4 linked regions of the Oreochromis niloticus genome follow. The protein of the gene in region 3 purifies or fractionates together with the protein of the main gene of each other region. This does not show direct contact. Links are inferred from orthologs where the notes say so. Each region holds a gene or a part of one and is shown on either strand. Other genes may lie near its edges.

Region 1 (7,341 bases), on a different chromosome or scaffold from region 3:
GCCATGTTGCCATATCATTTTTTGATTGGTCCACATGGTACATTTTTCCACCAATAGGAAAGGGCGGGGTTTTTGGTGTTGTCTTTGTTCACAGGCTTTCGAGCGTTTTCCTTATAAAACGCCGTTTTTACCGTTTCTTCCCGCAGTAAATATAAACAACGACAGTATTCAGGAAGAAAACCAAACATTGCAGATATTTTATCATAACTCTGGTTTTACGTGGCCTATCAACACAATTTAAAAACTGGTATAAAGTCCACACTTTTTCCGTCAGTTGTTCCGTCTGTCCTGCTCACATCTCCAATGGTTGGAAACGTTGTCATTAACGTGGCTTCACTCCACATCAGCCACGCTGCTTTGCCAGCTAAAACACCGGTGTCGGCACATAAGGACGCTGTCATAGCCTGTCAACGACGATGATTGGCTGCATATACACGAATGTGAATCGCATTATTGGCTGGACTGTGGGATAAGGTGGAATCGTTCTAATCCCATACGGGAGCAGCCAGTCACTCACTGGCTAACACTGCAAAACAGAATTGTTAAAGTTTTAATTTTAATTGCAATTCAGGTTAATTTTTTTTGTGCACAGAGACCGTGCCAGCAGTGCGCAATTGCGCACGTGCGTATCTTAGAGGGAACATTGCTGGTGGGTAATGAGCCAGTGAATAATGCAAAAAACAGAGATCTGAGATGGGAAACTAGCCAAAGTCAGAGGGAATTAATGATTATGTTTATCAAACGAGAAACGTAGTTTGATCTTCTTTTGCTGCTGGTTCAGAGAGAGACAAAACCTGCAGCATCAGAGACCTTTGAGCTGTCAGCTTTGAACACCGATGGCGGGTCCGTGTACATGCCCTCCGGTCCGCGCTTTGTGTGGACTCACCATAATATTTTTCCTGTAAGAACAGATGATCACTACATCTCCACAAAGACACACAGGTGAGTTTACCTGATGACGATCCAGCACGCTTCCTGCCACAGGTCAGGAGTGATCTCATCATCATCTTCATCATACTGATTATCTGACAGAGACAGCAGGGATCAATATACATGAGCAATACACATACTGAGACATAGAAGCTTCACCGATCAATCAATGACAGATTGTCGGTTCAGGTTGCTTCCTTTTCACAGATAACTGCACATAGAGTTTACTGATCAGTTTAAACAACTGGTGAATTGATCAGATACATCAATAAAAACAGATGACAATCTCACAGGAAAGTTATTGATCGTTCTGTTTTCAACTCACTGGCTCTGATCACGCAAACTGATCAATCAGAAGCAACACATCTGATCTGTTAAGTAAACTTCCTGTTGGTGTGAGTTGAGTGTAATGACATCACTTCCTATCTGAGTGCAGGCAAATGCAGCACACAGCCTGAAGCTGGTTGTATCAGGAGAACTCTGTTGATATGAACTGTGAGGTCCTGAAGACTGAGCCGCAGGGTTCATCAGAGAGCTGATTCCAAACTGCTGACCGCACGATGGTGATGATTTACTGTCAGATCACGAGTCATGGAGGTGACACACGGCTAAATCCAACGTTCAGCGTTTTCCAGCCCACACAGAATCTCATTAACAGCTGCAGTCTGACAGACACTTCACTTTCATTTCTCACACTACAGATGACGCTCCCTGTGAGCTCAAACAACTGTTTCATAAAATCCAAGCTTGGCTTTTGAAACACTTAAGTGAGGAGTCTTGGACCTGCTCTCACAGCTTTGAGCTGATTACAAACTCTCTCGTCCCCCTCATTCAAATGAATCATAAATGATCAAATCAGCTATTACTCTGCTTCACAAACTATTTACTCAGAGTTAAAGTTTGTGGAACAAATCCTGTTAATGTGGCTCATTTAAATATTCTGCTCTTGAAAGGAACCTCTTACAAATACTTGTGTCATTAGTGTACTGCAAAAACACTTTGTCCCTGACTTTGAGTCCTAAACCTCTTCAGTTATTCCAGGATAAAGACAGCTGAGTGTTTTGAGGTGCAGCAGACATCCTGTCCTGTCTTTGAAGGGACATTTTCATTATCACAACCTGTAAAACACCTGTGATGAAGGAAGACATTTTGTAGTCCATCTTCTGCACTTTGTAGTTTTAACACGGCAGCCCTTCAGCCTCACGTAATTGAGGAGACTAGTGTGTCTCAGCACAGCACACGTCTATTTTTCTCATCATCTCTTTCATTTCATGACCTTTACAGGTTAAAAGGAGGTAAGGAGGAGAAGACAGGAGGAACTGACCTGCTGCCTGTAGCTTTGCCTCCCTGAGAAACTGGGTAATGACCTCTCACCTTTAACTTAAAGATAGATCGGTCAAGTATCTTGTGGTCAACGTTTACTTCCATCGCTGATCAATCTCTGATCACGGTAGAGCTTTCTTTATGCAGTGTTTATACTGTGTAAATGTGGCGGATTGTACACTGTTTTTATACTGCAGAATTTACACATAATATAAGTGTTCGCGTTTATACTGTGGTACTGTTTATAAATTGCAGTATTTGTGGGTGTAGTGTCACAGTAACGCTGAGTGTAAACGTCTGCAGCGATAAGTTAAATAAAGGGTCCTCGTGCGTTAGCAGCATTTAGCCTGTTAGCTCACACAAAGCCCCGCTGCTTTTAGCTGCTGTTAGCACACGATTCAGGTGAGGCTCGTGATCTGCGTGAAGCCGACGCGTACCTGTGTGACAGGTGTTTGTTTGGATGAGTGATACTAGCTTTTGTTCTCTCAGAAATTACTAAAATGGTTAGCTGTAGCACGGGTTAGCTCCTCTGTCACGTCCTGTTAATAAAATTACCCAATAAATGCAAATAAAATAATCCACCATGTGACGTAATGAAGTTTTACGGCTGTGCAGCTCACCTTCATCCTGGTCATACATGTTTATCTCCTGAAAACTTAAAACCACAACAACAAAAATAAAAACAACAACCACAAAACGATGCGATCACCGCGCGCCCCGGAAACGCAGGTCACTTCCGCTTTGTTCTTCTTTGTTAGTAATAGGCAGAGGTGAAGCATTACTGTCCCTCACAGGCTGGATGCTACAACTGCACAAATCCTCAAGCTTGCTCTCAAGTCAATATCGTGTGTGTTTTTGTTTGTTTGGTTTTCCAAAAAACGTTCTTTATTTCTCTTCAGATATTTTATTGTGAAGCACAAGTAACAATTACAAAGTTAGCCTTTTCTGCAGCTATAGGGCATATATGGCATCACTCTTGGCTGGAAGCAGTGCTTAAACAATGGTAAAAACACAAACTTTGTCCAAAAACCTCATGTTCTCATGTTTAACTGTTTCCCACTTTTTCTTTGGTCATTTTAGCCTTTTTGGCCAGGGTGAAGGGAGTACCTGCCATCAAACAAGAAGACAGCCGCATGTAACTACGACGGTGTTTGCTAGTTCACCTTACATGCATTAATGTAATAATGTGGTTAGCCTACTCAACGTAAATTACACACGAACAACATTACTCATACTCACGCAGAGAAGAACGGCTGCTGCTGCCATCATCATCGTCATCATTTCTGCTACACTGGCAGGGCTAGGGGCCAGGACTCTCCTCTTCGGGTTTTTGGGGGATGTTGCTAACTCCGGGTCCGAGGCACCACACCCGCAGTAGATGTGCTCGGTGTGAGGTCTCGCAGCAAGCTATCAAATATGGCGCATTTCTCGGCTTCTAACAAAATGCTATACATCGCCAGGTGTTTCATCAGATTCGAGGAGTTACCTCCTTTGACAGTATCACAGTATCAGCTTAAAGCACTTGTTGCAGGCTGCTGAGTTTGCATCTTTTGCTGTGAAGTACAGCCAGACTTTTGACCGCTTTGCCTTGGGTATTTTTAATCTGTAGCTCTAAAAGAATGTATGTATCTGGGCCCGCCTACTACGCTTGCAAAGGTAAAATGATTGGCTAGAATCCAAAGTTCACCAGCGTCTCTTCTTCCTCAGAAGACTCAGAGACTTCCATCTGCCACTGAGGGTGCTCAAGAACTTTTACTCCTGCACCATCGAGAGCGTCCTGATGGAAACATCTGCACCTGGTTTGGGAAAAGCACCAAGCAGGACAGACGAGATCTGCAAAGAGTGGTGCGCTCAGCCGAACACATCATTCGAGCAGAGCTTCCTGACCTGCTGTCCATCTACACCAAGCAGTGTAAGACCAAAGCTAGGAAGATTATGATGGACCTCTCCCATCCCAATAATGGACTCTTCTCACTGTTGAGGTCTGGGAAGTGCTTACGCTTCCTTAAGACCAAAGCAGAGAGAATGAGGAGGAGCTTCCTCCCTCAGGCTATTCGGGCCCTGAACCAGCTGTAGGACATGACTGGAGTCCCATACATCACTGCACCGGACACGCTCTGTTTATTTGCACACTTCTTATAATTTATAATTTCTTTTTATCCATAATTTCTTCTGTAAATCGTTATTTGCATTGTTTTACTGTAAATTTCTCAGTTAAAATCTGTAAATTTTGTAGTAATCTGTAAATCTTACTGTCAGTTCTTACTGTCATTTAATGGTTGGGCATTGCACAGCAATTGTCAGGGTACTGGGTCGTGTGACCCAGTGTATGAGTTTTTATGTATCTTTTGTATTCATTTATGTTCTAGTTTAGCTCATGTAGTTAATTTTTAGATTGCAGTTTAGTCCTTTGTTTCTTAGTACTTTTTGTCATCTTCCCCTGTACTAAGTCTCCCTGGTCCACACGTCTACCTGTCATGTTTCATGACTGTGTTGTCCTTGTTGTCAAGTTCGTGTCATGTCTATGTCTCCATGTTTCCGGTTGTATTTTGAAAGAGTCTGGTGTTCTTTGTTCATTGTATGTAGTTTCACTTCACCTGTCCTGTCATTAGGTTCATGTGTGTCAATTCAGGGTCTGCATCCTTGGAGAACGCAGCCTTCGCTGCCTACGGCTTTGTCCCAACCCAGCGACCACATGCTTCGTAGTGCGCATTTGGAGACCGATTATGCCACAGCACCGTGACGACGCCTGTCCCAGTTCGAAGTGTACTCCAAATGCCGTCGACAAATTTGCCGTCCATTTCCCCAAATTTGAAGTGTGGTCCGGTGTACACTTCGTGGTCACATATATCCCACAATTCATAGCGTGGCGGTGGGTGTGGATAATTTTGCCGAAAAATACGGCAGGCGGCTGAAGTGGAGCGGCCGAAGAGTGAACTTTCAAAAGTAAGTTGTTATAGTGGATGGTTAAATGTTTGTCATTTTTATGCTTACCATCCATTTCTACATTGTTTAACTGTAGGATGAAAGGAATTCCACTGTCCCCCTCCCCAGATTCTTGAGTTTTTAGGTGAGGGGCTGTAGGTTTGATTACAGACACATCCTATCTGGAAGGTCTGTTTGATGTAAGCTTCCTGCCCAGCAGGAGGTCTCTTTCTCACACACACACACACACACACACACACACACACACATATATATACATACAGTGCCTCGTCTTTGTAAACAAGGGGGGTTAAGAGGGGAGGTACGTGTTGTAAACTATTGTGTGAACTGTAACAGTTTGTCAATAAATAGCTGCGAGGGAAGCTGCTCTTTGAAGGACTTTGGGCTGGAGACAGATAGGAGCGTGAGCTCCAAGAGCTGGTCTTGACCAAAGGCCTCCCTTGCGCAAGTAAAAACGATCGATCACTGTTGCCTTGTTTTTCTTTCATGGGAATAAGTCCTGGATACAGCGGGGTCTGAGTTTAGACCCAACATAAGTACTGAATATGATGTCACTCACATATGTGCGAATGTTTAATAATGAAGAACATTAAAACATTACTGTTGGCCACATGTCGGCAAAGTTATGTGACATTAGTGATGTTTGTACTAACTTGGTTTTAAAGCCTTTTATTTAAAATATACGCCGTTCAATAGTTGACCTTAATCTTACAGAGAATGTGATGATTTTATGGATAATTAAAGTCAGTCATATATCCACAAACACAACAAGCTGAAAGTCAGTGATGCTGCTCGGTTTGCAGTCCTGAATATGACGGCACAAGCAGGATTCACTGCACTGTTAATGTTAGCTATGTTATATTGCTGCCTCTGTTCGGTGGTGTCGAGCCAAACGGACTTTAACGTGTGTTTGAACGAGCTGACGGTTCACTCGTTAAGCTGAAAGAAAGATGCTTTAATCACAGGAGTCACACATGTGTCCACTGGACCATCTGGGAACTCTTCTTCTTTAGTACTCGTAATAACACAAACACTAAATCCTCCTTCTCTTGTGCTGTTTTGTAGCAGTGTATACACCTGAGACTGTCACCTGTCTGTCTGTCCTGCACTCTCTCTCTGTTTCTTTCTCTCTGATTGTGGAATAAAAGTATGAACATGTATTTATAAGTTACACTTGTGTTTGAATCCTGCAGCTTATCGCACATTTGATTTCCATGTGTGACAACTGCAAGTGTCCAGAGTGAGGACAGACTGAGGGACCCACTGCTGCACATCATCTGTGAGGCTTTGCAGCCCTGATGATCCACCAGGACAAACTCAGCAGTGTGTGAGGAAGAGGAGGAGGAAGAGCCAGCAGCAGCTGACAGATGGAGAGAATAGACAGACTGTTCCCTGTTTGTGAAGGACTGCTGGGAAAGTTTAACATAACTAATTGTCTGTCCTGAATCAGTCTTATTAGGTAATGTTCAAATAATGTTATCATCCCAGTGTTTTCAGTGTGGGAGAAAGTACTCAGGGCCTTCAAGTTACACACTATGAAAGGCAGCAACAAGTTTCATATTCAGAAACCTAAAGTATATATCAGCAGCAGAATGGAGCTAAAAATAAATGTTTGTTTCAGTTCTATGAAGCTTTGAGTATTTTGGATTAGTAGCACTGCTGTGTTTGTTGCATCACATTGCTGTAACTGTTTGTATGCTTTACATATTCTGAGGTAAGTTGATCTATAGTGTTACATCATGTTCTATAAGGATGTTATGTGTTTGTAGACTTTCTGCCCAGTTTGACCCATTTAGCAGAAGTCAGCCTGTTTAAAGCTCTGATGTCTATTCTGTATGACTTAAAGCAGTTATGACATGGTCTGATTTTCTCACCCAATAAAGGAATATTTCATATATCAGTCTACTCTTCATTTTATCAGCAACAGTTATCACAGCTCGTACATTTTCTTTTTACACATATATGTAAGCATTGAGCCAAATGTAGTAATGCCAACATATTAAAAGAACAATATTTGTCTTTTATATATGATACATCTATATACACACTGTCAAAGATACTTGTCTTTGAGTGAAGATTTAAGGAGATAGGAAATATAAATAATTGTAACTTGAATCTTTACTAGGGCTGCCACAAACGATT
Region 2 (6,974 bases), on a different chromosome or scaffold from region 3:
CTAAAATAGTCCATCATCAGATGAACCGGTGTGCTTTAAGTCTTTTTGCCCATAGAAAAAAAGAAATAGGAAATGCAAAATGGCTTTTAAAAAAAGCTATAGCTCAGTTTAGAACAGCAGCCCTGTAGGCTTTAAAGGCCGCAGCAATTTAATTCCTTAATCTGTGTAATAAATATTAAAAAAAACTCCCACAGGCTAGGCTATCTGCCTGGTCTGCTAAATCAATATGAGGCTATGCCATTAAGCTATTAGAAGTGGATAGACTATTAGCAGTGCTGTATTGGTGAAATCTGCAGCATGTTGCTGCATAATGTTGCCTAAAGTTGGCCTAATTCATCAATCCAGTATAACATTTGTTTTTATACGTGTCAGCTAACCCTGCACAAAAACATATGCTACAAATGAGTGCAAGTTTTTAAAATTGTGTTACACTCCACTCTCAAACACTGAGATAACATGTTGCACACATCTGTATACTTTGGCCATTAACGGGTTAGCTTCAGGCTCATTTGGTGTATATCACAATGCATTTTAATACAGTGTTTAATTGTACTAAGTTTCAGCTTGCCGGATTTACTCCATCTTACTTCTAAATTTAACCAAACACAGCAACAACAGCAAAGCCTGACACGGACACCAACACAACATATCGACTCAACCCCGCTGTTCTCTTCTGTGAATAGTTGCACAAGAGTTTCAGTTTCCTAAACAAATGCATCTGTGCGCAATAAAGAGTTTACTATAGTGACGATGTGATTCACTGTTGCCATAAACTGTGCAGATTGCCATGGTGTGACATTAAAGGCTCCTGAAGCTTGGCTACGAAAGGAGTATCAGTCGTCCTTTGTAGCAATGCCATTGAGTTATCCCCCCAGTATGACACAAAGCTGGGTAGTAGGGAGGTGGCCTGTCACCAGGGGGCTAGGTCAGCATTTTGCAGAAAGCACTGCGTGCGTGTGTGTGTGTGTGTAAGTCGCAAGGAGGCTACATGCAGAGAGATGATGGTTGTAGAAGAAATGCACGGCTAGTAACAGGTACGCGAACAAGCCATCTACCATTGTGAATGCCTTATTTTGTCTAGTAAATAAACTAAAGCTTTAAAACATAACTAATATGTCACAGATAATGCGCATGTTGTTATTCTGCAGGTTAATATAGTATCAACGAAAGGAGTTCAACTGGGGTTTCATCAGTATGTAAAAAGTAACTCAAAGGGAACCAGAAAAGGCAAATAGGTGCTGAAGCATGTTAGTAAGTAATAATAGCAAGGTGTGCAATGCAAGGCTGGACTGCAGCATATAGACAGTTTAGAGTTATCAGGGGTCGCAGCTGTCATAAGAGCAGCTGCTGCACATGTATACATGAATGAATGCAAGCAAGGCACACAAGATCACCAATGATCAAGGGGATCGAACTGAAACAGCACGTGCATTTGGGGCTACATACGAAGGGTCTTATTAACATTGCCTCTAATCAGATTTTAACAAACACAGATGGGGCCAAAGGAGAAGTGGGTTGGAAACTAACCTAGAATTATGGATGGTCACTGTAGTGGAAATCACTACGCCCTGAACAGTATGGATGAAAGCTGAGACAGGTGAAGCTAGAAATTAACTTTGTGTTGTACTAGGTTAATGTAACTGAGGTGGCTTTTAAATGATTTTGAGGTACAACTACAGGTATGGCTCATTTCAGGTTTATGTTGAATTGTGCTCCAACTTAGGATGACTGTAAACTGAATTTACTCCTATTAATTCTCATTATTTTATTTCTTAACTTTACTGTAGATATTCTAAAATCATCAAGTTAAACAAACAGAAACTCTAGTTACGTTTTTGATACTTTACTGTATTTTTTAAGCCAAATTGTTGTTAAAGCTATTGACTGGTCGCTGACGCTTTAGCTGAATCAGCTTGGCAATAACTTGGCGTTTAGCAAAAGTTAGCTGAAGTAGCTAACGTCATAGCTAAGCTAGCAGTATAAAAAGCACAAACTCCAAAAGCCACGGGCAAGTGCTAACAATATGATAGCTGTTCATCGCTATAAATGTATTATTATATCTCAGGACATTCACTCTACCATAAATTCTTCTATCACACAGCTGCATAGTGACTCAAAATCGCCAGCTCGCTAGCCAAGCTAAGCTAACGTGTTCGGAAGTCTGTCCCGGTCACGAAAATCAAAACAAACGTCTCTTCGAGTGGGAAGGCAGCATAAAGCTGACACTCGGATCTTAAATTGCCCCAAATAAACTGCTCGTTCTCACATATGGCCGTGGTCAAATAAATATACCTATCAAGTTATTCAATGGCTTACATTAACGTTGAGCAGCTGTTAGCTAGAGATATTCTCCCGTTGTGGCAACACGCCTATTTTTTCCAGTGTTTATTTTGGGCCTAAACGACGCTTTGGAGCCCTGGCCGTTTTCCTGCTCTGCAGACCCTCTGACAATGACAGCAACTTCGGCCTTGTTCTCCCACCACGTCGCCCCTATCGACGCATTGTTCCAGTCCCATGGTCTGTTTTCTCTTTTTTTCTGTTCCTTACCTGGCGCACTGCAGTCAGCGCAGACTTCTGTTCTTTGTAGCTTTCTCGACATCTCGAAAGTGGATGAAACGGAGAGGTGGATGTCGGCGATGATGTGAATATTCGCCCGTCTTCCCCCCCGAGCTACAGACCGACGTCTGCCGTCAACCGATGCGGCCCCTGAATCCCCGGAAGCCGGGTGGTATGATCGGCTTTTCCCCCGGCCAGCTGACGACGACTGAGCTTCCCGTTAATTCCAGCGGTCTGTTCGCCCACGTTCGCTGATGAACTCCAAGACTGGATCCAAGTTATGTGAACATAGTTAATCTGTTTATATAAAGGATCTCATCTCGGAATATTGCTACAGTAAATCTGTTCCCTGCATTGCCTGCAACTCACCGAGAGACGGCAGCTCTTTACCTGACAGTATCCGCGCTCGCGCTCACTCACTCTGACACACACGAGCGCGCACACACACACACACCCAACATCCCGACAACTTAGGACAGGGAGGGACAGGGCGTGATGATAACCTTATATTCTTAAAGGTGAGGTGGTTTCGATAGAGTGGGACTTAATCACAATCTAAAATTCATGCTGACAGAAAAGTTACTTGATGTTAATCAGCATTTAGATATAAGACACACACTGCTCCATTTAAGCAGAAATATCGTGATCACCTTCTCTGACCTCTTAATGAACATTCAATGGCTGAGCAGCTTTAGCAGTCAAATGAAACATTAAAGTGCTATTGATTTATTGGATTTATCTGTTTCACTTTTCTGTCGTGTCGACAAGAAAAATCTGCTGTGAATAACGCAGAATAAGAGTAGAGGAACAAAAAGAATCAAGAAGTTTGGCTTTCATTTCAACTTTGATGAATTTTGTCTTTTGCTGTCATGTCGTGCGCTCCCCAGCCTTCTCCACAGTACGCCCACACCTCCTTTATAACACTCCTATGCTATGTGGGCCTGGTTCACTTTAAACGCATCATTTCGATTTCTTTTTCTTTTTCACAAGGCATGTGTTTTATCAGAGCCCTGACAGCGGATTGGCTGAGTGTGCGCCCATTTCATTGCAGCTTGTCAATGCATCTTTCTCAGTCACCACCGGATGGGAGGAGAGGAGGAGGATAGACGCGTTAGAGTAGGCAGGGGAGAAAGAGAGCGAGGAAGAGAAAGCGAGAGGAGGAGGAACGGGTGGATAAGGAATAAAGGTGTAACCCAATCTACTGACACAATCAAGGGAGGGCTTTTCTCCCCCCTTATCTTTATTTCTAAATGATTTCATGGGGCTTTTGCGTTTATTCTAAGCAGAGCGAGCAGGGAGCCATCCACTGTTTCTGACGCGTAAGGTTGCCCTACACGCCTTTGGGCATCACCGCCGATGCAGGATGATAGGATTAATTGTATAGCGTAAATCTGTGACAAAGTATTCTTGCGATCCACAGTGAAGAAAGAGGAGGGAGAGGCAAACTATGATCCGAGGATGATTTCTGCTAAGAAAACTCCGGAGAAGAGTCGTTATCCTATCCACTATCTGGTGTGGCACAACAAACACCGACAACTGGAGAAGGAGCTTGCAAGGAACGAGCAGGTGAGAATGTGAGGGGGGAGTGGAAAGGCGATCAAACACATTTTTTCTTTCCATATATAAAGCTATTTTACAGGCGATTATTAGGTATGTGGATCCATAGCTGTAGATAGTGGTGGAGAAGCTGCCATCCACGGACCACCTCATTCAAGAACCTGGCCGGTATTAGCGCAGTTAATTGCTATAGGGTGGAGGGTGACACTTGTGGACCGTATCGTGCCCTCGAATCTGTGCTATTTTCTTGTTGCCATTCATTTTTTAAACCACAGTGTGACACAACAGGCTATACATGTCAGGTCTGTGCTGCGCATAGGTACCGGAAATACCCAGCCTCCCTGTAATTTAAATATGTATAGGAAGTTGTGTCAGGAGTTTATTCCTGAAAAAAAAAAGGAAAATCAAAGTGAAACCTTATGGGGTTGAACTGTGTGTGTGTGTGTGTGTGTGTGTGTGTGTGTGTGTGTGTGCGCGTTTATGCGTTTATGTCTGTGTTTAAGCAGCTTTATTGTTATCTACTCAAAAGTGTAGGCTCTCCACCTTCCCACCAGCACCTAAACCCTTTGTGAGTGGGTGAGACAATGCAGATATTGTAGCATGTGGGCGAACAGTTGCCAGCGACCACAGTAAATACAGTAATAGAACCATTAAGATACACTATGGTCTCCAAATATGAGACATGCAGTAATGGATGGATATTTGTCACAGCGGTAAAAAGGGAGGGACCAGATAACACGATAAGAATATCACAGTGTGTCATGTGAACAGATGCTTGTGAATTCAAACAAATATAGAGGAGAACTGCTTGCATCTTGCTCAAGCCATCACATTTCTACACGTGTGTGCACACATTTACGCACACTTGCCTACGCATGCACACCCTCACCTTCATGTGGTTATAAAATCATAACCCGGGGAGCCATTTCTTTAGACCAAAAACGGTCAGCTGTCAGTTTGCCACAGTTCCCTGCATTTACAGCAATAGATTGTGGGAATGACACGTTACATTTAAATCCTCACCATAATAATAACTATTGCAAAACACATGGCACACCTCACAGTTAAGAGGCTCTAAGAACAGACCTCTCATTGTCAAGTCAGGGCTAGAGGTGACATAGTTACCGCGTTTCATGCATAGAGGAGATGGAAATGAATCATGTGAGCTCTTGAGGCGGAGGAGACAAAAACTTTTCAAACCCTGGCTGCTGGCTGAGGGCTTAATTAAAACTGGAAGGGCACTCACTCAGAGAAAGCGCTCTTCATTCTTAGTCAATGCACTATCGTGCAATTTTAAAGAATCTGCTCCAAAAATGTAACAGGCCGTCAACGCTCCACCTCTAATTATTACGATTATTCAAACTCTACAGAGAAAACATACCTAGCCAAACATGTGCAGTTGAGTCGGTGTTCACTCAAAAATTGGATTAGTTGCTAACCTGGGAGAGTGTCTCATATTTTCAAATGTCAAGATTGATACATTTAAAGCAAAGGTGTGCATCTTCGTCCAGTAGCTACACTTGCGGGGTCTCTTAAACAATGAAAGCGTCAGTGGGCCATTGATTGGTCAGTTTCACACTCAGAAATGTCCTAACAAATATTGGATGGATTGTATTGGATAGACTGAGTTACACTTAAGTGCAGAGCAGTTGTTCATGATCCCCTGAGGATGAATCCCATTGCATTAAGTATTCCTGCTAACTGGGAAATGCTGGGAAATTTAAGGTGATGCAGTGAGAATCATTACAACAACCCAGTCACAGGAAGGACTACAAGCATTTTATCCATTTCCTGAAAGAGACACATTTGCCTTTCATACATCTCACTGTTGTAATGTATAATAATGGAATTTCTAACGGCCAATGTCAAGCAACACAGGTAGATGCTGACCTGCTGGCAACCTTTTATGAAAGTAGCTCGTTAATGATATACCTCTGGCTTGTAATTATTAACTGTCTTTGCATTACTTCTGTGCTTTGTGAGTCCCTCCCTCGTGCCTATAATTTGGCACCAGTAGGTACCTCGTAGAGTTTATACCATTTATTATTATTGTATTTATTTTGCCACCACCTAAGTGTGTTAATGAAGTATTAAATATTAACACATTACTTTACTGTAGCTAATATTTCACATCACGCTCAGTAAACAGAAACTTCTGGCCATGTTTTGTTCACACAGGCTCAATAAATTTGCCCTCATAGCCCCATAGTAATTCATTTTTCAGGAACTCTTGTATCAATAAATATTTTATAATGCAAATTTTTATTCCTCCTCTGCTGTGCATTGGAACCCTCCACTTTTTTTCTTTTTTTCTTTTTAAACTAAGCCAGCCAGACTGTCTGATACTTGTTTTTACTGCATTAGAGCAAACAAAGTGCTAAACGTGCAAATGAACTTTAGTAAATAAGCACAGCTGATCATCTTCCAGTTGCAAGTTATTTTTATTGTACTTTATTTCAGTTACAGTACATGGGGCCATGTCTACCAGCTGTCATTATGCACCCTAGGTTTATATGAAATTTAAAACAGTGGTAAGATTACAGTCTGTTTTCTCTCCTTGCTTATATTAGAATATGACTTTAAAGCTATTTCCAAGAACATAATGATTTTTTCCCCCCATATTTCTTGCATTTTCCCTGCCAGCACCAGGTGTGTTTTCTTAGAGTCTAAAGCTCAACGTGTATGTGGTGACAGGTCGCAAACTACAGCAAAATTTCTCTTTGTGTGATTGTATGCTCATATGGATTATGTTATACAATCCTGCAAACATTTTCCTCGCTTTATAAACTAATGTCAGCATTAACAATTAGCATTATATCCATGGACTCATTTGTGATGCATTATTTGGTATGTTTTATACG
Region 3 (7,167 bases):
GGTGAGCTCTGAGTCCAACATACAGACACACACACACACACACACACACACACACACACACACACGTCTCAGCGTCTCTTGACTCTGAGACACACTTTTAGTCGGAGTCACTACTGCTGCTGGAAGAATCTGTGGACATGGCCTCTACATCATCTTCGTTCTCCTTGTTGTGACCCGGAGGCTCCAGGCCAAAGTCATTGCCGTGGTGAGGGGGCAGCATCCCCACTGAGACATCAGACGACTGCCACGGGTAATGAGGCGTCAGGACGTCTGAAGTGACACGAGAGAAAAGTGGTTATTCTGTGAAATGCCAGACACTGACTGACACTACTTATCTCAGCTCCCTTATATAGTATCTGAAAGCTGGCACTTTTTGCCAAGTTTCTTATGTTACAGAACATGATGTGGATGCAGTCTGAATGGCAACAAATAAAATCTGTGTTCAGTGTTTATACTTGATAAAAAGAAAAATAATGGATCCATCCTTTAACTTTTTATCATTATAACGATAAATTATTAACTTATACATTTTGAAATCACTGTAACAAACCTCTGACCTCATCTACAATCTCTTTGCCAGGAGGCATGGGCACTCCTTTCTTTAACTGCTCAGCTGGACTTACCTGGTAACCTCCCAGCAGCTAATGCATCTCCTGGCAGATGCCCATTCACACCATTGGTGGACAGGTTGGCCATGTGACCAAGCATCCCACTACGCATTTCCAGGTCGGTAGGGTACGGTCTGCGTGGATCACCTGTCAAGTATGATGACAGTGAATGAAGCTGAACATAACTTTTTACCAACACCCGGTGGGAGCTACAAGAGAGCCTGGCACATACCTGGCACCCAGTTGAGAGGAGCACACACAGCGTTACTGGCACTGATTCTGTGAGCATACTTGATGATTTCTTCTGATGAGATGCTTCCTGCAGAGAACATGTAAACAGTGTCAATTTATGAGCAAGACATCAAAGAGAAAACCAGCCATCAAACACAGCTTTCACCAGAACGTGTCGGGAGTGTTCCCTCACCTTTCCTGGCTCTTTCAATGGATTTCAGTTTCTCTTTTGCCTGGTAAACAGCAGTGGCCTGAAAGAGATACACAGAAATATATCAGTCCTCTCTATCACTTGTCACATGATGTTAGAATTTAAAGAAGATGTAGTTTCTGTTTATCATGACTCTTCATATGCTGGCCTCATTATTTTAAACCTTGACCATGTTTAATATGTACATCTGTAACAAAGTAAATCAGAAAAAGAAGAGAATCATAGGCCCCTTTACATTTACAATAGCAACACTATAACCCTGAACGCCTCTGCTGTAAGAGCACAGTGTCAGCTACACCAGCATACTTAAAACATTTGAGCATTTATTTCAATCTGTCAGCGTTGCCCTGCTCTGGATGAAAAAAAAAAAATTAAAAATTAAAAACAACAGACAAGCCAAACCCACCAGGATGTGTTCTGCTTCCTTCAGTTGTTTCTGGAGCTGCTGGATGTCACTGTCTCTCTTCTCCACCTCCTTCTCCAGCAGTTGCATCTCCTGGTGAACCTTCCCCTGCTGCTGTGCCACCTCCATCAGCTCCTGAAACTCCTTGTCCCTCTGCACCAACAGCTCCAGAATCTTATGGATAAAGCATATACACATTCTGTTATCAAAGATTTCCTATTTGATACGCTTCATACAGGTTACTGTAACTAACTAAAATCAGTCAAGTCTAACTTGTAAAATAATTTTAGGCATTCTCTGGAGACTCAGACACAATAAAAGGTTCAAAAGTTATGAAAGATTTATGGACAAGACGACAGAAAATCAGTTGGAAGGAACTAAATATCTTCAAATGTGACCGCATTAAAATTAAATGCTTAAATCTAAAAAATTATGGTTAGCAATTAAGCACAGGGTTTGTCCTTAAAGAAACAGTGATCCTGTATCAGTGATCATGTCTCACCAAAACTTTAAAACAGCAAAAAGCAAAAAACTTAAGACTGTGCAAGTCCACAAAGAACTTAAAGATCAAGTACCAGAAACTGGAAAAATACAGACACCGAGTGGCAGACAAGTATCAAACTGGACAGTGTTTCACAACACTGACCAAATATATAGCTGGAGACATTTTAGAATAGCTGCCACATAGTGAGACTTGCTTGTAGAAGGCCTTTGGCTAAGCTTTGATCACCACTAACCCTAAGACTACACATGGTCTGACGGTCACTGTGAGGGTCATTAGTTTGTTTAAATCTCGGTGTGTCAACTGCAGGCTGAGTGGGGTGTTACCTGCGTGTCCTCTCCAGGTTGAGGCATTTTCTGACTCCTGGACAGGGCCAGCATCTCTATCAGCTCCCTGAAATGAACGCACACACAATGAGAAATGGGTCAAACAGCACAACTCAATCCAACAAATCAATTTCTATCTTTATATATTTATTTACTTTTTAAAGCTCATACTGACGATCGTTTTCTGTACGCCTATGTTCACTTTGTTTCTCTGATTAGTCATTTTGGCCATTCTTGTGGTAGTTTCCTTTTAAAAATGACTATTAGCCGCTGAGTGTAGTACCTACAAACTCTTCAGCAACCTTGTTTTATAAAATGGACACACTCAGTCTTCTAACTGCTAAAAGTTTCCAAGAAAAGACTTAGAACAGTGTTTCAGGTTGTTTCAAATCCCAGGGTTCGTTATCTTTCTTTCAGAAAAGCCGTTGTTTCGGCCAGTGAGCGGCATGTCTGCTAGTAATCAGCACAAACTGGGGGTGCTAGTTCACGGCTCCAAATATGAGTATTTTATCTCTTCACAGATAAAATACGGATAGCTTACCAAACCGTTTACACGAGACACAAGAAAGCCCCCACACGAAGTTTAATTTTACCTGGATAAAACCTCCAAATCATCCAGCACAGACAGTAGTCTCTCCTTCGTCGATTTCTCCGCCGCCGCCATGTTTACTTTCTTTCCTCTGGTTTGCGCAAGACAGGAAATGATGTTCCAACATGCTAATGCTTCTTCTTCTTCTTCTTCTTCTTTATTGTTTTCGGGCAATTTGCGTTTTGGTCTCTAGGGTATGCTAGAGATATGACTCCTGTTCTCACTTCCGTAGCATTTGTTGGCGTTATTACATTAGTATTATCGGCAGCCCCAAAAAAACAAACAAAAAAAAAGTATTATTGGCAGCCATATTCTAATCTAGACTTATGGTGCCTTATTTATATATCTATAATTTTCAATAATTTGTACTAAGTTCATCTACTCCAAATAAATTCCTCCCGTTTTTTTGTTTTTTACTTTTTAATGCACTGCATTTATTTGTCAGACCTATGTTTTTAATTATAGGTTACCTGTCATTTACGAAGATAAGAGCGTCAAATATTTTTTTTCTGTTATCAGCGTATTTCACCTTCATTCAAGCGAAAAGCGACACGAATGAAAAATTAAGGAGTACATTAAGTTGGAAAGGTTGATAATATATATATATTATTATGACGGGACATAATGTGGAAATATTCAAGTAACGATTCAAGCGCTTGAAAATAAAAATGAATACAGTACTTCTGCCATATTTTTTTCATTGTTTTTCTTTTTTTGAGTACATCACACATCATACATCCCAGCTGGCGTGAAAGAATTGTATTAATCTTTTGTTTTGTTTTTTTGTCACTGTATATAAATGTGTTCACACAGCTTTATTTTATTTAGTTCCCATGTCCCCGACCAGGGGGAAACAGCCATTTCCCAGATGTCGGCTGTTTCCCCCAGTCTGTGGCAGGCCGTAGACAGCGCAAACCGAAACTGAAGAAGCTTCCGGACCGTCAAAATAAAAGTGCAAACCAGCTTAAAATTTCACAAAAGTTTATGTAATGCAAGCATTTATGCAAAATGGGAAAAGTGCCACAGTAATTAAAAGATAAAATACATATAAACTTTTTTCTCTTGGAAGCTGTGTACAGTGTATCTGTATTTCGTGGTTGGATATTGCCTTTCGGAGATGAGAACTCACATTGCAGCCTGATTTTATTCACGTGGTTTGTTGAGATATTTGAATCAAATAAATACGATATATTCTGAATTCATTATATAGCTCATCAGTTAAAACTGACAGTTCTTCTGTTTTTTCTGTAAATCAAAAATGTGTATATTTTCTTGAAGCCCATTAAATTATTTAAATTTTGGATTTCTTTAATCCACTACCACTTTTTAGTCATCATTTATGTTCGTGCCATTATGTTAATTTTCTTATTTTCTCTTATGTTATGGCAGGGTTATCAAACTCCTTTTACACTGTGTAAATATAAAGCCAGATTTGAGCTTAACTCCTACTTCTGTCATTGCAAAGAAGTTTAACTACACATTACACAATACATCTCAGTTTTTCTGCATTACAGAGAAATACTGAAGTTTTTCAGCACAACTCCTTGGGCTTAAACTGTTATAAATAAATGCATAAATTACTTCCACTAATTACGTTAATTGTATTAAATTTACACCCAAATGTATTAATACAGAAAAAGTTCTATTGGCTTATGGCACAGATGGTCTTTTACTTATACAAACAGAACATTTTTGTTAATTGAAAGAATTTTTGTTTTTGTATTTCTCCTGTAAAGCCACTGCAAAAATGATAGATTTGAATAATGATGGTAAAAAAGTGTCATTTGTGTTTTCATTCCTTGTTTATTTTAGGTTAGTGGTCATGGGGGAGTTTTTTGATCAGTAGGAAAACTCATAAAACTTATGAAAATACAGTTTAAAAAGCTGTCCCAGGGGCCAGATTGGAGAGGTGATTCTGGTCCCTGGGCTTATGTTTGACGCCCCTGCCTTACTTTTATCGTATTAATCAGTGTGTGTAGCTCGGATTGTCCCCCACTCCTTGGTGTTGATGGTTGGTTATGTAAATACATCCCAGAAAAGTAATAAACTCTATAAATTATATTTATAGTAATAAAGTCTTGAGTTTAGTGTATGTGTTCCACTACATTTCGGAAGTAAATGATATAATATTTATTGACAGCTCTAGGTACCAGAGCAACAGTCGTGATCTAATCACTTTCATAATATTTGCACAGTTTTATTGTTCTATATTTAAATAAAACATTTTAGTCTATTACTTGTCTTTTTGTATTATTTATCTATTTTATTATTTAACAGTCATTTATATGTTCTTTTAAGTAGGTATATTATTAAATATGTTAAATGAGTTTTTCGTTAATTGTTTTCTGCATTGTTTTATTTGTTGTTTGTCTAGCATTCCCATTCACTGTGCTTCTCGGCCTATTGTAAATCGCTTTGAAATACATATCTTATATAGGAGAGGCTATAAAATAAAGTATAATAAAAGCAAGTATAATAAGGTATAATACAGCACGTATATACAGATAATTACATAATTTCACACTGATGTTCTTTTTAAGCTAAGTTTTAAGCTTGGATTGTGCCATTTTGCTTTTATATTGTCGTATTTCAGTCAAATATCGGAACGTCTTAGATTAATCGTCGTGGATATGCTTTTATTTTGAAAGTCGGAAGCGCGGCGACTCTAAGTCTAGCTTTACATCGCTCTTATCACAACAACAGAGCAGACTTGGCCGGGGGAGAAGTGCGACTTATTTTTACTTCGGAGCAAATTGTCTTTGCTGTTGTTTGCTTTCTGTCGTGTTGCTTTTTTTCCCTTTCTCTCGGAGATTGTCGCCACTTGTTCCAAGATGGTCAAGGTATCATTTAACACGGCTCTGGCACAGAAAGATGTGAAGAAGGACGCCGAAACTCTTATTCCCGAGGAGGACAAAGTGAGTAGAAAATGGCTAACAGCAAACTCGGTTCTCGGTGGGGGGAAAGGCGCAGTTAAGCATAAATGCGTAGAGACACAATACTGTTGTTTAACAGGGCTCCTGATATATTTCAGTTTCTCCACTCTTTGAACACTTTTAAACAATACATTTTAAAATCATACAATGTATCATTTAAACTACTAACGTCAAATAATTGACTGGACGTTACTTCCTCATGTGGCGTTTGTTTTTTTCACCTTTGATACTCTTGATGTTTCCGGTATTTTCTACTTGTTTCCATTTTTAAATCTATTGTATCCACATAAATATAATATTTACACCTTTTAAGTTGGTCTGACAATACCCTGAAAACATTAATGTAAGTTTATGGGCTCTAAAGTGTAGGAACGAGCTTTGCCTGACTTTTCATGTCGTTTTAGAGGTCAGCAAGTATACCAGGTGGTTAAAGCGTGCAGTTACCAAACAGACCAGTCAGTAAGCAGAAGAATGTAAGAGAAAACAGTGGAGGGAAAAACATTAAGTGCTGGCACCAAAATCACGTGTAGATTTTTACCTGGCAAATTTTAGGATGGGTTTTAATCTGGTTTCATATTACAGTTATTCCTGCTTTTTTTGCAATCAGTTGGCCTCAGACTTCAAGGACATGAACATGTGCCGAGGAAAGAAAAAAGAAAAGAAAAAAAAACACAACAGAAAATGCAGATGTTATGTTATTGCCTCTTTGTGAAGAGTGCCACTCTCAAAAAAGAGAAAGCAGAGGAGGTGGGAACTTCCCCATAACTAAACTTAAAAGTCCATGCAAATTTAGTTATTTTTAATCTGCACCTCTCAGCAATTAATAACAGCTTAGAATGGAAAGACTACACAGGAAGGCATGGGAGTCTGTCACTTTGACATCCTCTTTGGTCTGAAAGATGTGTATGTTGAGTGTCCTAAAAATGTCATTCAAAAGTTAGAAAATTCACCTTTCCCCCCCAAAAAGTGCAAAAAACCCAAAAGAGTGCTGTGCAGTGTGGTGACGCTGCAGTGTATTTTACACAACATTCACTAGAAAAGTGCAACTAAATGACAGTTTTAGAGTTGCAGAGCGGCTGCGACTGCTGTGTGATCTCACCCTGCAAAGGAGCTGGTTGTATTATTCAACTGCTTTCGAGCTGACTTGTGGAGTTGAATGTGTGGGCTGCTGAGGCGTGTTGCCTGTCAGACAGTAAAGTCTACAAGAAGATCTTCCCGCTGGCCTCCACCCTGTTGTAAAAGGAGCTGCCTGTTGTTTCTGTTTCGGTCTGACAGAGGACCTCTGGGCTCTCTCTGTATGCAGAGAGCACTGCGATGTAAACCTTGCTACAGTTGCAAACGCAAACGGCTGCTTGTAGTTTCAA
Region 4 (7,742 bases), on a different chromosome or scaffold from region 3:
CAGTGCGTCTGAAAGTATTCAGCCACTCCAGTAATGAGTCACCATTAGAAGTTTCTGCTCCAGGTTCTGTGCCCCCTGTAGGAAGGGGAAAAAAAAGAAGAAAAAAAAGGTTACGATTAGGTAAATTAAATCATTAAATCTACTTCTCTTTTCACAGGTCTCTAGCAGAAATCTTGCTTTTGTTCTCTTGCAACAATATAAAAGCCATTTTAAACTATTCAAAACCAGTACTTAGACTGTATTTACTGTCAGGCTAAAACATAAATACAAACACGGTTCAACAAAGCACGCCGTCTTGTTTGGTACCAGCTTAGGCAAGGTTTAAAATAAATACAAGACCTTCACAGAACATATTATGAAACCTGTCTTTTGTCATCCTTTTTTTTTCCTTTTTCTTTTTTTTTGCTGCCAAAGCAAGTCCTTAAAGATTATTTTGTGTTTTTCCTGTCCTGTGTTTTTGATTTTTTTAAATCAAAAATTAAGTAACTTTTGGCTGTGTTTTGACTGTTGTCGTTATTTCGTCTAATATGCAAGTCTGAGTGTGCAGGTGCCTCTCCGTGATTGGTGCATCCAGGGGACGGATCGTACGGATTGGCTAATGACCGGGGAACAACATATAGGAAGACACCGCCATGGACGGCCGTTCATTCATCCTCGGCCAATCCCAACCAGCAGACTTTGTGTTCCCTGTTTAGCTATGTTTGTTTGATGCAGGAGCATGTAGGGGTGGACTGCCTTTTTGTTTGAGTTTTCTCCTGTTTTGTTAGTTAGGAAGGTAAGTCGCTGTCGTTTGGTTTAATTCTTTTGAGTAGGTAAGTTTGATTTATCCTTGAGATAGGCTCCCTTTGTTTGTTATTTTGGCCTTAGGTCCACCCCGAAGTTTTAATTCGCTCCCTTCCTTTGTTTTTAAATTCACTTATTGTAAATAAATCACAGTCAAAAAGTACTGATTGTGCGATGTGTTGCTTGGGGTCAGATAGGGATGGATCACCCTTATGTTATGGTCTGGCCACCCCTAGGCGGGCCGTAAAAGCTGCTCCATTATTTCCTAAAGCTGCGTACACATATGAAATGATTCGTTCATTGGACATTGCTTCGAAGCTGATGGCCAGTCATTTGTGGACATTCTAAGCTCCAGTTCCCTCAGTAAGCCCCTAATAAGTTTACTACCAGGTCATATGTCAATCATGGGTAGTCTTCAATCTCATTACTCGTCTGTTCATTTACTCCTCTGAAAGTTGACAACGGTTTATCACGAGTGACACCTACTTCCTTTCCCCAGCACTCATTTTGTCTTTATTCACTTGAATTTTGATGACTTTCTAGGGTCTCTAGTCGCCACATTGCTGTGAATTGCTTCCAGTGTGTACGCAGCTTTAGGGGTCACCACAGCAGATGGATCCCTAAAGACCCCGGTATACCCCTTCGTTTGTGACTTCACACGTCACCAGTGCTTGTCACATAGCCACTTCTATTTACTCTCATCGGACAGGCGCAGGTAGCTGCTGCTGTATTCTGATGAATGATAGGTGCCGTGACTCAGACACTACCACCACATTAGTGCTGATAGGAAGAGAAGTAGACAAAACTGAAAGTAAAGACATTTGAAATAAATCCAGAGCAAAATTTTTTCCATCTCTTCAAACTGCTGCAGCATCTCCCTAAGTATAATCTGCGAATCTCTGACCTTCTCTACTGATACATCTTTAAAACTGCAGCGAGAACTAACATGATTTTAAACTCTTATCTTAAACCCTGCTGCAAACTGCCAGGTTACAAAAGTCACGAGGTTGATTCTGCTTCTCACCCCAGAATCAAACCACAGATCTTTTGCATGTAAGGTGAATGTTCTACCACTATACCACAGAGCCATTTAACTCAAAAGTGACTTTGGGGCTTAACATAAAACAAAACATCACAAAAGCCAGATCTGGAAAGATTAAGGGAAGAAGTCCTTCCTACCTGCTCCTCGTCTCCCTCCAGCACCTCTCTCTTCTCCCTCACCGCTGCTGCTCTGCTGCTCTCCAGACTCAGAAGTCTGTGAGCGCTGCTCGGTAGAAGGCTGAGATGACAAACGCTCTTTTGCTCCATCCAGACGCTGGCGGAGCTCTTCAGCAGTCACCTCCCCTGTAAAACAAATATTTCATGGGCTTTGTGTTTTTTGTACAATAAAAATAACTGTGGGTACAGATACAACAACATGGCGCAAAAGCATCAAGTGCCCCTCCTTACCAGGAGTGCCCAGCAGGTTGCCATCTCTCATTAGACGGTACTCCTCTTCACTCAGTTCATTAATGAAGTGATAGTACGCCTCCTCCCTTCGAAGACGCTCTGCCTGCCTCCGCCGTTCATCTCCCCCACCAGGAGGGTCCATCACCGTGTAAAGTGCTGGCAGACAAATAAGCAAGAGTCAGTCACGGATGATCTGTCACTTAGTTACCCTCTGTAGATATTTGTCTTTCTAATATGTTGCAGATGAACAAGTCATGTGTTAGCTAATGGTCATCTGATTCGGTTATGGACAAGCAAAGATCAAACTGTTATATAGCGAGCAGTTGCTATAAATAAGACCAGCGCAAAACACAGTGCAAATATGAGCTGTTTGCTCAACGTTGTCTTTGAGTGACTATTTCTACCCAAGGGCAACAGTTAAATCAACGCCATCCATTTTCTGTCGAAACACTTACAGCAAAAGAATGGAAATGGCTACGTTAATCTTGCTAACGTTTAGCCTAGAGGTTAGCGCCGAAAATTCATCAAATTTAATTATGCCCATGCTCAGTTAAATCCCTACCACGGTAAATCTAAGGGGTAGTGTAACAATGAAGCAGTCATCACGAAACCTAACATTAACGCAGTGACAACAGTATCCACGGAAGGCCATGTTGAAGGCAGCGGAATAAAGCAACAAAACTGGCGTTGTCATCCTGGTTAGCCACCAATCAGCGGCGTAATCTCAAGACGGACACGCCAGGCATCCAATCAGCGTTGAACATAGGCGGGCCGTGATAAACCGAAAGGGAGGCTTCCTCCATGTAAACGCAGGGCAAACAGTGAAAGACAAAGAATCTCGTCAGCGCTATTAGAGAATTACAAAATCGAGATGTTGACACATAGTAGCGATTACGACAACATTGGCTCAACATTACAATTAGAATTGTGGATATTTAAAAAGCCATTTAAGTGCGCAATGCTTCAGCTACTAACTCAGCGCTAGCTCGTTAGCACAACCAGCGTTAGCGACTACCACATAGCTCCGCTAGCCGACCCACCAGCGAGCTACGAGGCTCATTAACTTATCATAATTTATTATGACAGAACGTTTTCTCAAGCAGTGGGAGTACACGGAACCTATCACTTAACCCTAACACACTTTCATAAGAGATGACAGTGGCATGTAAAAGAATTTCGTACCTGACGAGGCAGCTGTAATATGGACGGTTCGCTTTGCTCTCTCTGCTCTCTCAAATCAAGATGGGACCAGCGGTGCTGCACTACAGCGTCGGTCAAAAACAAGATGCCCGGCTATAATAGTTCCTACCTAACATAACATCAAAGCTAAGCTCAAGGTTTGGCTGACCTAGGTGACAGCAGTGAATGTCAGTGTAAAAGCATCATTTATAAAGTTGCTATACTTTTATTCAGCTATACTATACTATCTAAAACTTCAAAGTATTTTTCTCAGAAATGTGAGTTAGTAAGATTACATTTCGAGATTAAAACACGGAAATTTTGACTTTTTTTTAGTGGTGGGAACAAGCTTCACATTAGGGTTCTTGATGCCTTTGTTTAAATTATTTTAAATATTCTAAATATTCAGCTAATCATATATTGTATCTCAGTCATAACTGCCACTCTTTATTGGCAATTATAAAGGTTGCTGGCTGCAGAAGCTAAAATAGCTCTTCCAACATTCCAGGGTATGGTAATGAGTGGATAGGTTCTTGGACCAATCATAGCAGTTTTCCACTTTTAAAATACTTTAAACTGATTCACTTAGATTTCCAATGGGAGTGGGACCAAGATTAGAAATTAGCATATCAGAGGCACACCTCAAATTGAAACAAAATTAGAGAGGCAAGGCTGAGATGGTTTGAACATGTGCAGAGCAGGGATAGTGGATATATTGAACAAAGGTACTGAAGATGGAGCTGCCAGGGAGGAAAAGAGGAAGACCACAGAGGAGGTTCATGGACATAGTGAAGGGGGACATGCAGAGGGTTGGTGTAACAGAGGAGGATGCTAGAGATATGGTGAGATGGAGGGAGATGATCCACTGTGGTGACCACTAAAGGAAGCAGCAAAAAGAAGATGATAAAAAGAGTTTAAAAGTATATTGTTTTTTGTCTCCCTTTTTTATACGTTTCATTACTTTATCCCGTGACTGCCCATTCAACATTAATCTGTTTGGACAGTCTTTTTCTTTTCACAATATAGTGCTATTTAAACCATACTTTACTTATTCTCTTGAATTAAAATCAAATGCATGTCTGCTTTCTTTGTGGTGGACAGAATGTGCAGATATTTGTTTGCACAGCCCTCTTATAGCCACGTAATAACCCACAATACGGAAAATAATAAGCTAGCTTCTCCTTAGCATAAAGACGATACGATGATATCAAGTCATATCTCAGCTATATTTGAGTGAGAGTGAGAATTTCCACGTGGTATAGCCAGCCTACCCATTTTTTCTTTGGCTCTTTCTCTGCTGCAGGGCTGTCTTCACGACGTTTTACGACAATGCCGTGCGCGAATACGCCGTCGTTACCGAGTGAAGTGCGTCCCTTCGGAGCAGATACCGGCTGAAGAGAAACGCAGCAACAAGATAAAGGAATATATTTGGGGCTCCGTTTCCACCTGGACCATCTCGGAGCGCCGCATATCTCCTCCGGAGCTTTAAATTTAAGACGAGAACTCGATGTGAAAGCCGGGCTGGAGGAAGGAAAGAGCCACGCTGGAGAAGGCAACTAGCTGAATTACCAAACCGAGCTCGGTGGAGGAGCCTAGTTGCCTCCCAAGCGACGCTTTAAAAAAGGAAGGAGCGGATACATTCAGGCCAGACGGTGGTAAAAATGGACTATGATTTTAAAGTGAAGCTGACCGGCGAAAGAGAGCGTGTCGAGGACCTGTTTGAGTACGAAGGATGCAAAGTGGGTAGAGGCACCTACGGCCATGTATACAAGGCGAAGAGAAAAGATGGGTGAGTTGATGAGCAGCAAGGCCTTTTAGCCAGTGAACCCTAGCCAGCTTACCCCCCCGCCTCCTGCCTCTCTTCTCATCTTCCAAATAAATGTTACCTCTCTCCTCTTCCTCCCCCTTTCAAGGCCACTTGCAGATGTGGGAGTGTTGCAGTGGGTTTGTGTAGAGACAAAAGAGAGCAGTGTGAGCAGTTTCAGCTCGCACTGTTGGGATGCTGATGAAGCTTTGTGTCGCGCACAAAAAACACCGACATACGGTTTACCACCGGGATTGGAGCTTTCCCTTTTCATGCATCTGTTTTGTCACGTATATGCCTAACTCTAGGTACTATTTTTTATTTATTTAAGCTAAAGTATTTTTTAATTCCCCCCCCCATGCGATGTAGTAAATGTAATACAGCAGGTGCATGTGGAAGCACTTGTTGATGTCTTCTTTTTTTTAAGTCTTTGTTATACATGATACCAAAGAGACTTTTACAAGATTTTGTGTGAATTCAAAAAATAATCTTTAGTTATGCCCAGTTTTTGCACTCTTAAGTCTTTTTTTTTTTTTTTTTTACCCAATTTTATCATTATTTTTTTTATGCTTTTAGCCTTTGCATGAAGTAAAGTAAGGGAAATAGCTGAACCCAAACTGTAGACTTATGTGGTGCATGGTTAGTGTGCTAATCCCTCAGGATGCCAGGGCACCACCCACCTTTCTTCCTAAAACTTTCCTGCTGTTTCTAATGTGAGCCTTGTAACAGCCTTAACTGTGTCTGGACCAGAGCTGGGGGAGAGCTCAAGACGGTTTAAGCTACTAGTCCCGTTATTACAGCCCGGACATACTGGCAGCAGGAACCACACAAAAGAGTCCTAAAGTGTTTAAAGATGTCTGTATTTCGCTTTAGGAGCCTGCTTTTTTTATGAGACTTTTTAGCAGAGTTGCGCTGCTGCTTTTGGACGAGGCCTGAGGAGGCACAAAGCTTGGGTTTATGAGATGATTTAGGCCCGGCAGAGGGAGGGGTTGTAACCAATTCGTTCAAGTAAGCGCCAGTGCCAGTGCTCTGTTTGTCCCTTGCCAGCTGCCAGACAGGCCCTGTTTCCTTTCCCTCTCTATTGTTTTGACCCTCAGAGGTGAGCTTGATTACACAAATTTGGAGGTAATGCAACTCGGCCTCTTCTCAGAGTCCCACTGGCAGCTGCCAAGTGCCCCCCTTTATGTTGCTGTGCAAACGGCTCTCAGGGGGCCCTCAGTCTGGACTGGTCTGGGCTGGTCTGGTGTTGATGTTGCTCTACCTTTCTGTGTGTGTGTGTGTGTGTGTGTGTGTGTGTGTCTGTGTGTTTGTAGGAAGGATGATAAGGACTACGCCCTCAAGCAGATTGAAGGCACTGGCATCTCCATGTCAGCCTGCAGAGAGATTGCAGTAAGAGCTGCTTGGCTTACTCTGTTCCTTTTGTTTGGTCTGTGATTAAACACCTTCTTGCCATTCCAGGTGCTTTATGTAACGTCTGAATGACCTTCACACGCTAGTTTTTGTCAAGAAAATGAAAAATGTGAAATACAAGCAATTGTAAAATTGAAAAGTCAGGAAGCAGATGTTAATGCAGTGCATATAGAGAGTAGACACAGAATTAGTGATATGACGTATTGCCTCACAAGCGGTTTTCTTTAAAACATCTTACTACCAAAGATTAAAAGTGTTCAGTTGAGGAGATGATATCGTGTCCACCCCCCTGTTTAAGTATAAATTCTGGTAATCAGTACAGTCGCAAAAATAAGTGCAAAGTTTCTCTTTCGTTACGTCATTTTCATTCATGATGTCTGTAATGAGATTGTGTGGTTGGCCTTCTGAGTGGGTTTGTATGTTGCAGCTGCTGCGGGAGCTGAAGCACCCCAATGTCATCTCACTGCAGAAGGTTTTCCTGTCACATGCTGACCGTAAAGTATGGCTGCTCTTTGACTATGCTGAACATGATCTCTGGGTAAAATGCAAACACACAACACACACATACACACACACTTGACCTGCATGACATGACTTATCATACATATTATGAGGGTAATGCATGTTGGGTTTTTTTAAAATTGTTTGTTTTAAGCATTTCTTTATTAGTTTATATTCATATGCATGCATGGGTTGCAGATTTCCACCTATTTTTATGAGCACAAAGACATGACTTAAATAGGCCTCTCTTCATAATTAGGTCATAAATGTCCATGCAATTTGATAGCAGTTTTTTGGGGGGGGGTTGCATGTCCTTTCTTTTAAAAAATGCCAAATCCCTTTTAATGCCGATGCATTCACATTCGCTTTCAACCAGTAATAAGGAACGAGACTTGAAATAGTGCTAATTATGCATTGGTAAGTCTCATTAAAGCACACACATCCACCAAGAAGTATTCCATGTTGAGCAGTTAAACCTCTGCTGCATTACCGTTGACAGAAACAGCTGGCAGAGAATCAGAACTGAGTTAGATGCCGTTTTCTGCCACAGAGCTCCAACAATTGCATTCCCCTCCCAAGGAAGTGGAAACACATGTCACAAACATTAGGCTCTCTC

The links.
Region 1: the proteins of med4 (region 3) and polr2b purify together in Homo sapiens (affinity purification with mass spectrometry; 3 studies listed by BioGRID and IntAct, with this or other methods). This does not show direct contact. The link is inferred for Oreochromis niloticus from reciprocal best matches to the Homo sapiens genes MED4 and POLR2B.
Region 2: the proteins of med4 (region 3) and git1 purify together in Homo sapiens (affinity purification with mass spectrometry; 3 studies listed by BioGRID and IntAct, with this or other methods). This does not show direct contact. The link is inferred for Oreochromis niloticus from reciprocal best matches to the Homo sapiens genes MED4 and GIT1.
Region 4: the proteins of med4 (region 3) and cdk8 purify together in Homo sapiens (affinity purification with mass spectrometry; 9 studies listed by BioGRID and IntAct, counting the BioPlex papers as one, with this or other methods). This does not show direct contact. The link is inferred for Oreochromis niloticus from reciprocal best matches to the Homo sapiens genes MED4 and CDK8.

Annotation. Positions count from the first base shown.
Region 1 is NC_031966.2:36,396,749-36,404,089, forward strand, and holds the start of polr2b (DNA-directed RNA polymerase II subunit RPB2), read right to left. Parts: upstream 3,010-7,341; 5' UTR 2,893-3,009; coding exon 2,874-2,892; intron 1,026-2,873; coding exon 953-1,025; intron 1-952. UniProt on the Homo sapiens protein: Catalytic core component of RNA polymerase II (Pol II), a DNA-dependent RNA polymerase which synthesizes mRNA precursors and many functional non-coding RNAs using the four ribonucleoside triphosphates as substrates.
Region 2 is NC_031979.2:10,581,192-10,588,165, forward strand, and holds the start of git1 (ARF GTPase-activating protein GIT1), read right to left. Parts: upstream 3,017-6,974; 5' UTR 2,926-3,016; exon of another isoform or gene 2,824-2,925; 5' UTR 2,600-2,823; coding exon 2,548-2,599; intron 2,496-2,547; exon of another isoform or gene 2,317-2,495; intron 1,598-2,316; coding exon of another isoform or gene 1,582-1,597; exon of another isoform or gene 1,459-1,581; intron 1-1,458. Other genes in the region: ankrd13b (ankyrin repeat domain-containing protein 13B), read left to right, coding at 1,582-1,597, 3,977-4,122. UniProt on the Homo sapiens protein: GTPase-activating protein for ADP ribosylation factor family members, including ARF1.
Region 3 is NC_031987.2:29,462,620-29,469,786, reverse strand, and holds the start of med4 (mediator of RNA polymerase II transcription subunit 4), read right to left. Parts: upstream 3,020-7,167; 5' UTR 2,946-3,019; coding exon 2,875-2,945; intron 2,349-2,874; coding exon 2,282-2,348; intron 1,628-2,281; coding exon 1,457-1,627; intron 1,091-1,456; coding exon 1,033-1,090; intron 928-1,032; coding exon 841-927; intron 756-840; coding exon 624-755; intron 271-623; coding exon 98-270; 3' UTR 1-97. Other genes in the region: itm2bb (integral membrane protein 2Bb), read left to right, coding at 5,702-5,785. UniProt on the Homo sapiens protein: Component of the Mediator complex, a coactivator involved in the regulated transcription of nearly all RNA polymerase II-dependent genes.
Region 4 is NC_031974.2:18,859,658-18,867,399, forward strand, and holds the start of cdk8 (cyclin-dependent kinase 8), read left to right. Parts: upstream 1-4,722; 5' UTR 4,723-5,072; coding exon 5,073-5,200; intron 5,201-6,528; coding exon 6,529-6,604; intron 6,605-7,052; coding exon 7,053-7,163; intron 7,164-7,742. Other genes in the region: E3 ubiquitin-protein ligase RNF6, read right to left, coding at 1-75, 1,963-2,127, 2,233-2,388, 4,683-4,686.